Linked DNA regions of Oryctolagus cuniculus. The protein of the gene in region 2 interacts with the protein of the main gene of each other region in a pairwise test. Links are inferred from orthologs where the notes say so. Each region holds a gene or a part of one and is shown on either strand. Other genes may lie near its edges.

Evidence for each region. The genes of interacting proteins can lie anywhere in the genome.
Region 1: the proteins of RINT1 (region 2) and CCDC121 interact in binary tests that used the Homo sapiens proteins (3 or more experiments, as listed by UniProt). The two-hybrid records come from large-scale screens. The link is inferred for Oryctolagus cuniculus from reciprocal best matches to the Homo sapiens genes RINT1 and CCDC121.

Annotation. Positions count from the first base shown.
Region 1 is NC_091433.1:175,379,089-175,383,224, reverse strand, and holds the start of CCDC121 (coiled-coil domain-containing protein 121), read right to left. Parts: upstream 2,854-4,136; 5' UTR 2,664-2,853; coding exon 2,326-2,663; intron 1,731-2,325; coding exon 788-1,730; 3' UTR 1-787. Other genes in the region: GPN1 (GPN-loop GTPase 1), read left to right, coding at 2,915-3,025, 3,679-3,772.
Region 2 is NC_091434.1:138,792,318-138,795,877, forward strand, and holds part of RINT1 (RAD50-interacting protein 1), read right to left. Parts: intron 2,910-3,560; coding exon 2,695-2,909; intron 1-2,694. UniProt on the Homo sapiens protein: Involved in regulation of membrane traffic between the Golgi and the endoplasmic reticulum (ER); the function is proposed to depend on its association in the NRZ complex which is believed to play a role in SNARE assembly at the ER.

The DNA.
Region 1 (4,136 bases), on a different chromosome or scaffold from region 2:
TATCATCTTAAAACTTAGAATGTTGATATGGAAAGGGGTGGCAAAAGATTCTTAAGTCCAAATATTTTAAAACTTTTTTGATAGGTTTTCCTGAAACAGGCATTCAATCACTTCTTTAATGCTAAAAGTGTTTCTTCAAAGAACATTTCACAAAAAAGAGGCAACTTAATAAATGTCACCATTCAAATCCTCTTACCCCCTTAATGTATTCAAAGCTGAAATTTTTGTAGGGGTTCATCATCAGATTTCAAAGGTCATTCAACCTAGCACTTAGTGGGCTTGCTGTTATCAGAGTACTTTTTCAACTGGCGAGGAATCTGTAAAAGAAGCTACCCACCCACTGGCCTACACTTAAAAAAGAACTTAGAAACACTTCATCCTTGTCTGCTGATTTGGCCAAAAGGAATACAAGTAAACTGATCCGTGTTATTTATACAGCAGAAAGCTCTATTCAGTGAAATGCTGTCCTTAAAGGTATTTTCTCTATAAAGAAATCTTAACTTGGCTAGATGAAATCACACACCCCAAGTGGGTGTTTCTGAACTTGCTGGATGTATGGGGTGTTTCGGAGATGGTGAAACAGGTTGGGCTATCAGGTATTAGGTTAACTGGAAGTCTGAAAATTGTGTTTATCAACATAAGGTAGTTTTTTAAAATACTGCTTAAAGGAAGCCGGTCACCTTACATGACTGCACCTAGTCTTTTGTACCAACACGTATGGTATTTTACTACAATCTGGAATTCAAAAGCCTTTCCTAACAGGTTTGCTGGGTACGTATTTGAGGAACTACGGGGGGTTTATCGTTGATGCGGCGCCCAGGGGAGGCCTCGGTGGTGCCTGGGGGACACCCTGTCCTTTAGGGCACCCATGGCGTCTTTCTTGCAGCCGTTGCCTCCCACGGAGCATGCTCTGCACAAGCCACTGTTCCTGCTCCAGCTGCTGCTTCTGGCTCCTTAACTGGCTTTGAGTAGCCTCTAATTTCTGGGATTGCCGCATTAGCTGCCAGCATTCCTTGCGTAGCCGCTGGTTCTCTGCCTGGATGCCGTGGCAGAACTTCACCTCAGCCTGCTTTGCTGCCGACCTCAGGGCCTGCGTCTTCTCCCTGAGCGCCCTCCTTTCTTGCTTTCCCAAGTGCCTCACGTCTGGCTCATTCAGCTGCTCCTCCAGCAGGGCCTTTTCCTTGAGGAACTGGGCGTGTTTCTCGGCGGCGATCTGCGCTTCGATCTTGTTTTTCTCCTCCTGTAATTTCTGGATTTGTATGTCCTGTTTCTCCTTTAACAGCGAAATGTCTCTCAGATCCTGCAGCTGCTGCTTCAAATCGGCTTGTATCTTTTTCTTCTGCATGAGCTCTGCTTTAAGCACTGCAGACTTCTTGGCATATCTGGCGGCTAACTTCTGTCTCCCCCTTTTAATCTCTCGACTTTCCTGTATGTACTCCGTCCACAGCTTCACGGGCTCCTTCGCCAGCTCTTCCGTTTTCTTGGTCAGGTACTCCAGAAAGAACCTGTTTTCCGCCTGGAAGTGTAGCTCCTCCTCGTGCAGCTGCCTGGTGTCCTCCAGTAACAGCTGCTGCTGGGCTCGGGCTGCTTTAATCTGCGTGTCCAGCTCTCGCACCTTCGCCATTCTTCTTCTGATGCGCATCTCCGCACTTGTTAGCTTCTGGGGCTGGAGCAGATTATTTATTAGACTGAGGTACGACGGAGGGGAACTCCTGGGACCTTCGGCAAACCTGAAGGGAGAGCCCATGAGACGTGCCTCTGTCAGTTCTTAATGCAAATTTAAGCAATCATAAAAGATGCACAATTGTCCTTAATTAATACAGCGACTATTTACTTATTTGAAAGGCAGATTTCCCATCTGCTGGTTCACTTCCCAAATACCTGCCACAGCTGGGGCTCCATCCGCATCTCCCACGTGGGTGGCAGGGACCCAAGTATCTGGGCCACCAACTGCTGCCTCCCAGGCGCATTGCAGGAAGCTAGACTGGACGTGGAGTTGGAACTTGATCCCAGGCATTCAGATACGGAATGCTGGTGTCCCAAGTGGCAGCTCAACAAGTATTTTGGAGACCTACTACGTTCCAAACACTCTGCAAGCCACGGGAAATACAACCAGGGTTGAAGATGCTGGGGGTACCGCCGACAATTTGCAATAGGCATTCCCTGCAACCCCGCGGCGTAGTGTCCGTTTTAAAGAACAAGAAACCAGACGGCTGACCAGTGGCAGCGCCTGGGTATGAAACCCAGATCGTCGGACGCGGGACGGTGATGGGGAGCGGGGATACTTCTCGGGCTCCTTCATCCTCTTTCCGTGGCCGCACTCACTTGCTCCTGGAATCCAGCTGTTGACAGCGGTAGCTGCGCAGTTCTCGGAGGGTGGTCGCCGAGGAGCGCGCGCTGACGTCGGGGGTCGTGAAGGCGGAAAGGTCTTGCAGCTGCTCAGTCTGCGGCTCGACGGGTCTCCGCGCTGCCCAGCACCCCCAAGCGTCCCATTTAGCCCCCGCCCCGGTCAGCCCAGCCCTGAGCTGTTTAATCTCCTCGGGTGCCAAACAAGCTCTAGCAGGCGGCAGACCAGCGTCTTCGGTCCTAGCTCTTTGGGACCCCAAAATGAGACGTACGCCCCTCTTTTTCGTGTGGTGGGGGTTCGGCCCTTGGGAGCCCATCTCGTCTCCCGCTCCGAGGAGCCAGCGACGGGCAGTGCTCCTTTTTCGGCTCCGCTAGCCCTCTCCTCTCGCTTCTCTGCTCCCCTCACTTCTCTCCCGGCGTCACTAGCCCGCCCGCAGCAGAAACTCGGCACCCGCTGGCCGGCGCCTCTCGGCGGCGTTCGACTCTATTCTCCGCCCAATCTAGAACGTCGCGGAGGCCTCTCTAGCCACGCCGCGCCTCTGTGGTGAGGGGCGGGGCCTGAGCAAAGATGGCGGCGCTCGCGGCTGCGGCGGAGCCCCAGGCGTCCGGGGGTCCTCGGCCCCCCGTGTGCCTCTTGGTGTTGGGGATGGCGGGATCCGGGAAAACCACCTTTGTCCAGGTGACGCACACTGCGCGGGCGGGGTAGGGCAGCGCGAGAGGTGGTGGCGGGCAGAAGGCCAGGGAGAAAGCGACGGAAGTCCGTGGGGAGTTGGAGGACACCGGCGCGTGGTTTTCAGGGACTTCACCGAACTCCGGCTGCTTCGTGGGCTGAGGCATAGCGGACCCGCGCCTGTGTTCATTGAAGCCCTCTTCTGTGCACACTTGGTTCGACTTACCACGTTGTGTTGGAACTGTTTGCTGGGGAAGTTGCCAGCCTCTCGAAGGCAGACTCACAAGGCATGGAGTAGATAGATTCGGTGTTAACCCATTGGGTTTCGGTGAAGATTTGCGAAAAAAGTTATTTCTGGGGCCCCTCTCATGTTCCAGGCATGGGGGATACGGAGAAAATGCGGTTGACAAGGTTTTTACTTTCATGGAGGAGATAGAAAGATACTCGCCATATGGGTTTGCAATACAAGTTAATAAGTGGGCAAGAGTAGGGGAGGCTCTGTCAGGTGAGTGATAAGGAAAAGTAGCGTTTGAGCCGAGATTTGATGTTGGAAGCAGGGTGGATATTTCGGGTGGCTGGAGGGCGGTGGGTGAAGGAGTGGAAATGCCCTTCCTGATCACCCCCTCCTCCTCTCCCTCCCCCTCCCATCTTCCTGTCTGCAGCGGCTCACTGGGCACTTGCACAGCCAAGGTTCCCCGCCCTATGTGATCAATCTGGACCCGGCTGTGCACGAAGTCCCCTTTCCTGCCAACATTGGTGAGTACACTGTGCCCTAACGCAGAGAGGGGAACGCCTCCAGCCTGCCAGTCTTCAGGGACTTTTTTTATTTTCTGAACTTCGTACTTTTATCTCTCTTGGATGTTCTTCAGTCCCTAAACAGGCTTCTTTATAAAACATTCTCCTTTTTAAACACTGGCCTTTATCTAACGCCCAGGCTAAAGCTAGGAGCCAGGAACTCCATGCTGGCCTCCCATGTGGTGGCGGGGACCTAAGTGCTTGAGCCATCATCTGCTACCTTTTAGGTTGCTCATTAGCAGGAAACTGGATTGGAGGTAGAGGTGGGACTTGATCCCAGGCCCTTCCATATGGGGGGTACTTCCATATGTAGCACAGTCCCTTA
Region 2 (3,560 bases):
CTGGTCTCTCCTATGGGTGCCGGTTCAAGTCCCAGCTGCCAGCCCTCTGCTATGGCCTGGGAAAGCGGTAGAAAGCATGGGAGTCCTGAAAGAAGCTCCTGGCTCCTGGCTTTGGATTGGCACAGCTCTGGCTGTTGAGGCCAATTGGGGAGTGAACCAGCAGATGGAAAACCTCTCTCTTTCTCTGCCTCTCCTTTCTCTCTGTGTAGTCTGCCTTTCAAATAAATAAATAAATCTTTAAAAGAAAATAAGTCCAACATTAAATGCTCTATCGGAAAACATATGTACTTCTATTTATATTTTAACTCTCAATTAAATTTCCTTTTATTTAGTGAGGATAAGTGTTCCTAGAAAATGCCCATATTTTAATGACTTGATATAAAATTTAAAATTTTAAATGTATATTTTAAGACATAACTACTTTTATACTCTGATTTTCAGTAAAAGCAATGAGGACTAGTAACACCTCTGAAATGACCATACATACAGAGGTCCTGACTTAAATGGTTGACCTTTAGGGGCCAGTGTTGTGGGGCAGTGAGTTAGGCTGCTGCTTGCAACACTACATGAGTACCAGTTTGAATCCAAGTTGCTCCAATTGTGATCCACCCCCCTGCTAACGTGTCTGAGAAGGCAGTGGAAGACAGCCCAGGTACTTGGGCCCCTTCCCACTCATGTGGGTGACCTGGGTGAAGCTCTAGGCTCCTGGCTTCAGCCTGGCCCAGCCCCAGTTGTGTGGTCATTTGGGGAGTGAGCCAGCAGAAGGAAGTTCTCTCTCTCTCCCCCTCTCTCTAACTCTGCCTTTCTAATAAATAAATCTTTTTAAAAACATAGTTTGACTTAGAATTTTGCAATTTTATAATGATGTGAAAGCAGTGTGGATTCAGTAAAAGCACACTTTGAATCTAATCTTCCCAATGAGAGTAGCATAACACTAGACAGTGACAGCTGCCATCAGGAGGGTATATAACAGATACTCTACTGTGTACTGTGTTGCTAAGCTATGATGTTTAGTAGGATAAGTATATTAAATGCATTTTTAACTTATTTCCAACTTAGTATTTCCAACTTAGAATGGGCTTATCGGGATGTAACCTCATCATAACTGGGGGAGCATTTGTACTCTGGCTGTGCTAGGATAAACACACATTGCCTGCTCTCAAGCATGTCTCATTCTTGGGGGTACCAAAGGTGTCCATGGGAATTATGATAGTGGAATAAATTGTACAATGCAAGCATGAACAAGGTATTATAATTTGTAAAAATTAAACTTTTTTTTTAAAGGAGTTCAAAACTAAGTTTATTTTGGAGGAGGAACATTGAAATCCATGAATAGTCTTTTCTTTTTTTTCCATAATATGCATTTTCCACTAACTTTAGGAAAACTCATCATTTCTGATCCAAATAAAAAAAACTCTCATTGTTTATCAAAGAAAATTGCTTTCAACGAACATAAAAACATTATAGTACAACACAGCAGTTTCTTGATACCAAAGACATATTATAACTATTCACTATCCTGACATGTATTGTCTACCCTACTTCCTTTTGTTCATCACCTATCCAAATCAGATTCATGTAGGGTGTATAAATAGAAACTTTCTAACAGAAACCTTGTAAGGCTGTATTTTTCTTATTAAAAATTAGCAATTAACATAATACTATCAGGATACTTTCTTTACCATGTGGAATCAACAAATGCCATTTTATTTAAACAGTCTAACTTACATAACTGTTGTTACTATTCCATTGCTTAAGTAAAGATTTGCATTCATTAGGAACTGATACCTGGCACTGTCAACTTTTTCTTAATTTTTCAAACTATTTGAGAGGCAAAGACAGCTAACTCCCATCCGCTGGCTCATTTCCCGAAGGCCTGCAATGCCTCTCAGCTGGGGCTGAAGCCAGAGCTGGGAATCCAACCACTTGATTTGTCATAGCTGCCTCCACAATCTGCACAGGCAGGAAGCTGGAGTCAAGAGCCAGAGCTGGGTATAGGCACGGTATGCGATGCTGGCATCCCAAGGAGCACCTAACTCCCAGGCCAAACACCGCCATAAAGCACCTTATTTTATAAAATGAGTGACAGGCTAAGCTATTCAACCCCAGGTCATACAACAGCTTTTTTTTTTTTTTTTTCTTTTTTTTTGACAGGCAGAGTAGACAGTGAGAGAGAGAGAGACAGAGAGAAAGGTCTTCCTTTGCCGTTGGTTCACCCTCCAATGGCCGTTGCAGCTGGCGCACAGTGCTGATCCGATGGCAGGAGCCAGGTACTTATCCTGGTCTCCCATGGGGTGCAGGGCCCAAGCACTTGGGCCATCCTCCACTGCACTCCCTGGCCACAGCAGAGAGCTGGCCTGGAAGAGGGGCAACTGGGACAGAATCCGGCACCCCGACTGGGACTAGAACCCGGTGTGCCGGTGCCGCAAGGCGGAGGATTAGCCTAGTGAGCCACGGCGCCGGCCACAACAGCTTTCTTTACCAACAGTTGAAGACTAAATTATGATCAGTTTATTCTTATTAAGAATGTCCCAAAGAATATTTCACAAAGATGTCCATGAGACACAGTTCAAGTCTGGAGTACAGAAGGCCCAATGCTGCTTTATCTAGAAACCCTGGGAATCTGACTTCATGAACCTACTATCTTAGCTTTACCAAGCTGGTATTAAAAGTTAATTTACATAGAGGACATACCTTTCTTTTTTATACAATTTTGCAGCATCTTTAACTTCTCTAAAAACATGGTCTACCTGACGGGTCAGCATGTCATGCTTCAGGCGCTCTAAGAGGTTAATCATATCATCAAAGACAGAGCTCTCCATAGAGGCAAGCTGTCCCAGCTGCAGTTTACTAAGAGTATTATTCTCTGCAAAGACTTCCAATGCTGCCTGTTGCAGTTGTAGAAAGAACTGAAAGCAAAAACATGTTAGCAGGTTTAGTAGCATTCTTTTTTAACAGCTTGAAACAGAATTCATATGACATACAATTCACCATTTAAAGTGCACAACTCAGTGGCTTTTAGTATATTCAGAGCTGTGTATCTGTCACCATAAGTTTAGAACACTGTCATTACCCTCCCCCAAAAGACTTATCTTTCAGCCCCAGTCCCCCCAGTCCCAGGCAGTCACTAATCTACTTTCTGTCTCTATGGATTTGGCTATTCTAGGCATTTATGTAAATGGAATTCTACAACATGTGGTTCTTTGTGATTGGCTTCTTTCACTTAGTATATTTTCAGGATCTGTCCACATTTTATCATGTAGTACTTAACTTCTTATTGTCAAATAATATTCCTTTACATGGAAATACCACTCTTTATCCAATCAACAGCTTAGAGACATTAGGGTTAGTTCTACTTTTTGTCTACTATAAAAAATGAATGCTGCTATGAATATTTATTACAAGTTCTTATGTGGACATGTTTTCATTTCTCTTGATATATACCTCGGAGCAGAACTGCTGGATCATATGTTGGAGGAGCTGCTAGACTGTTTTCCATTGCAGCTGCACAACCTTATATCCTCACAGGCTATATATGAGCATTCAAATTTCTCTATCCA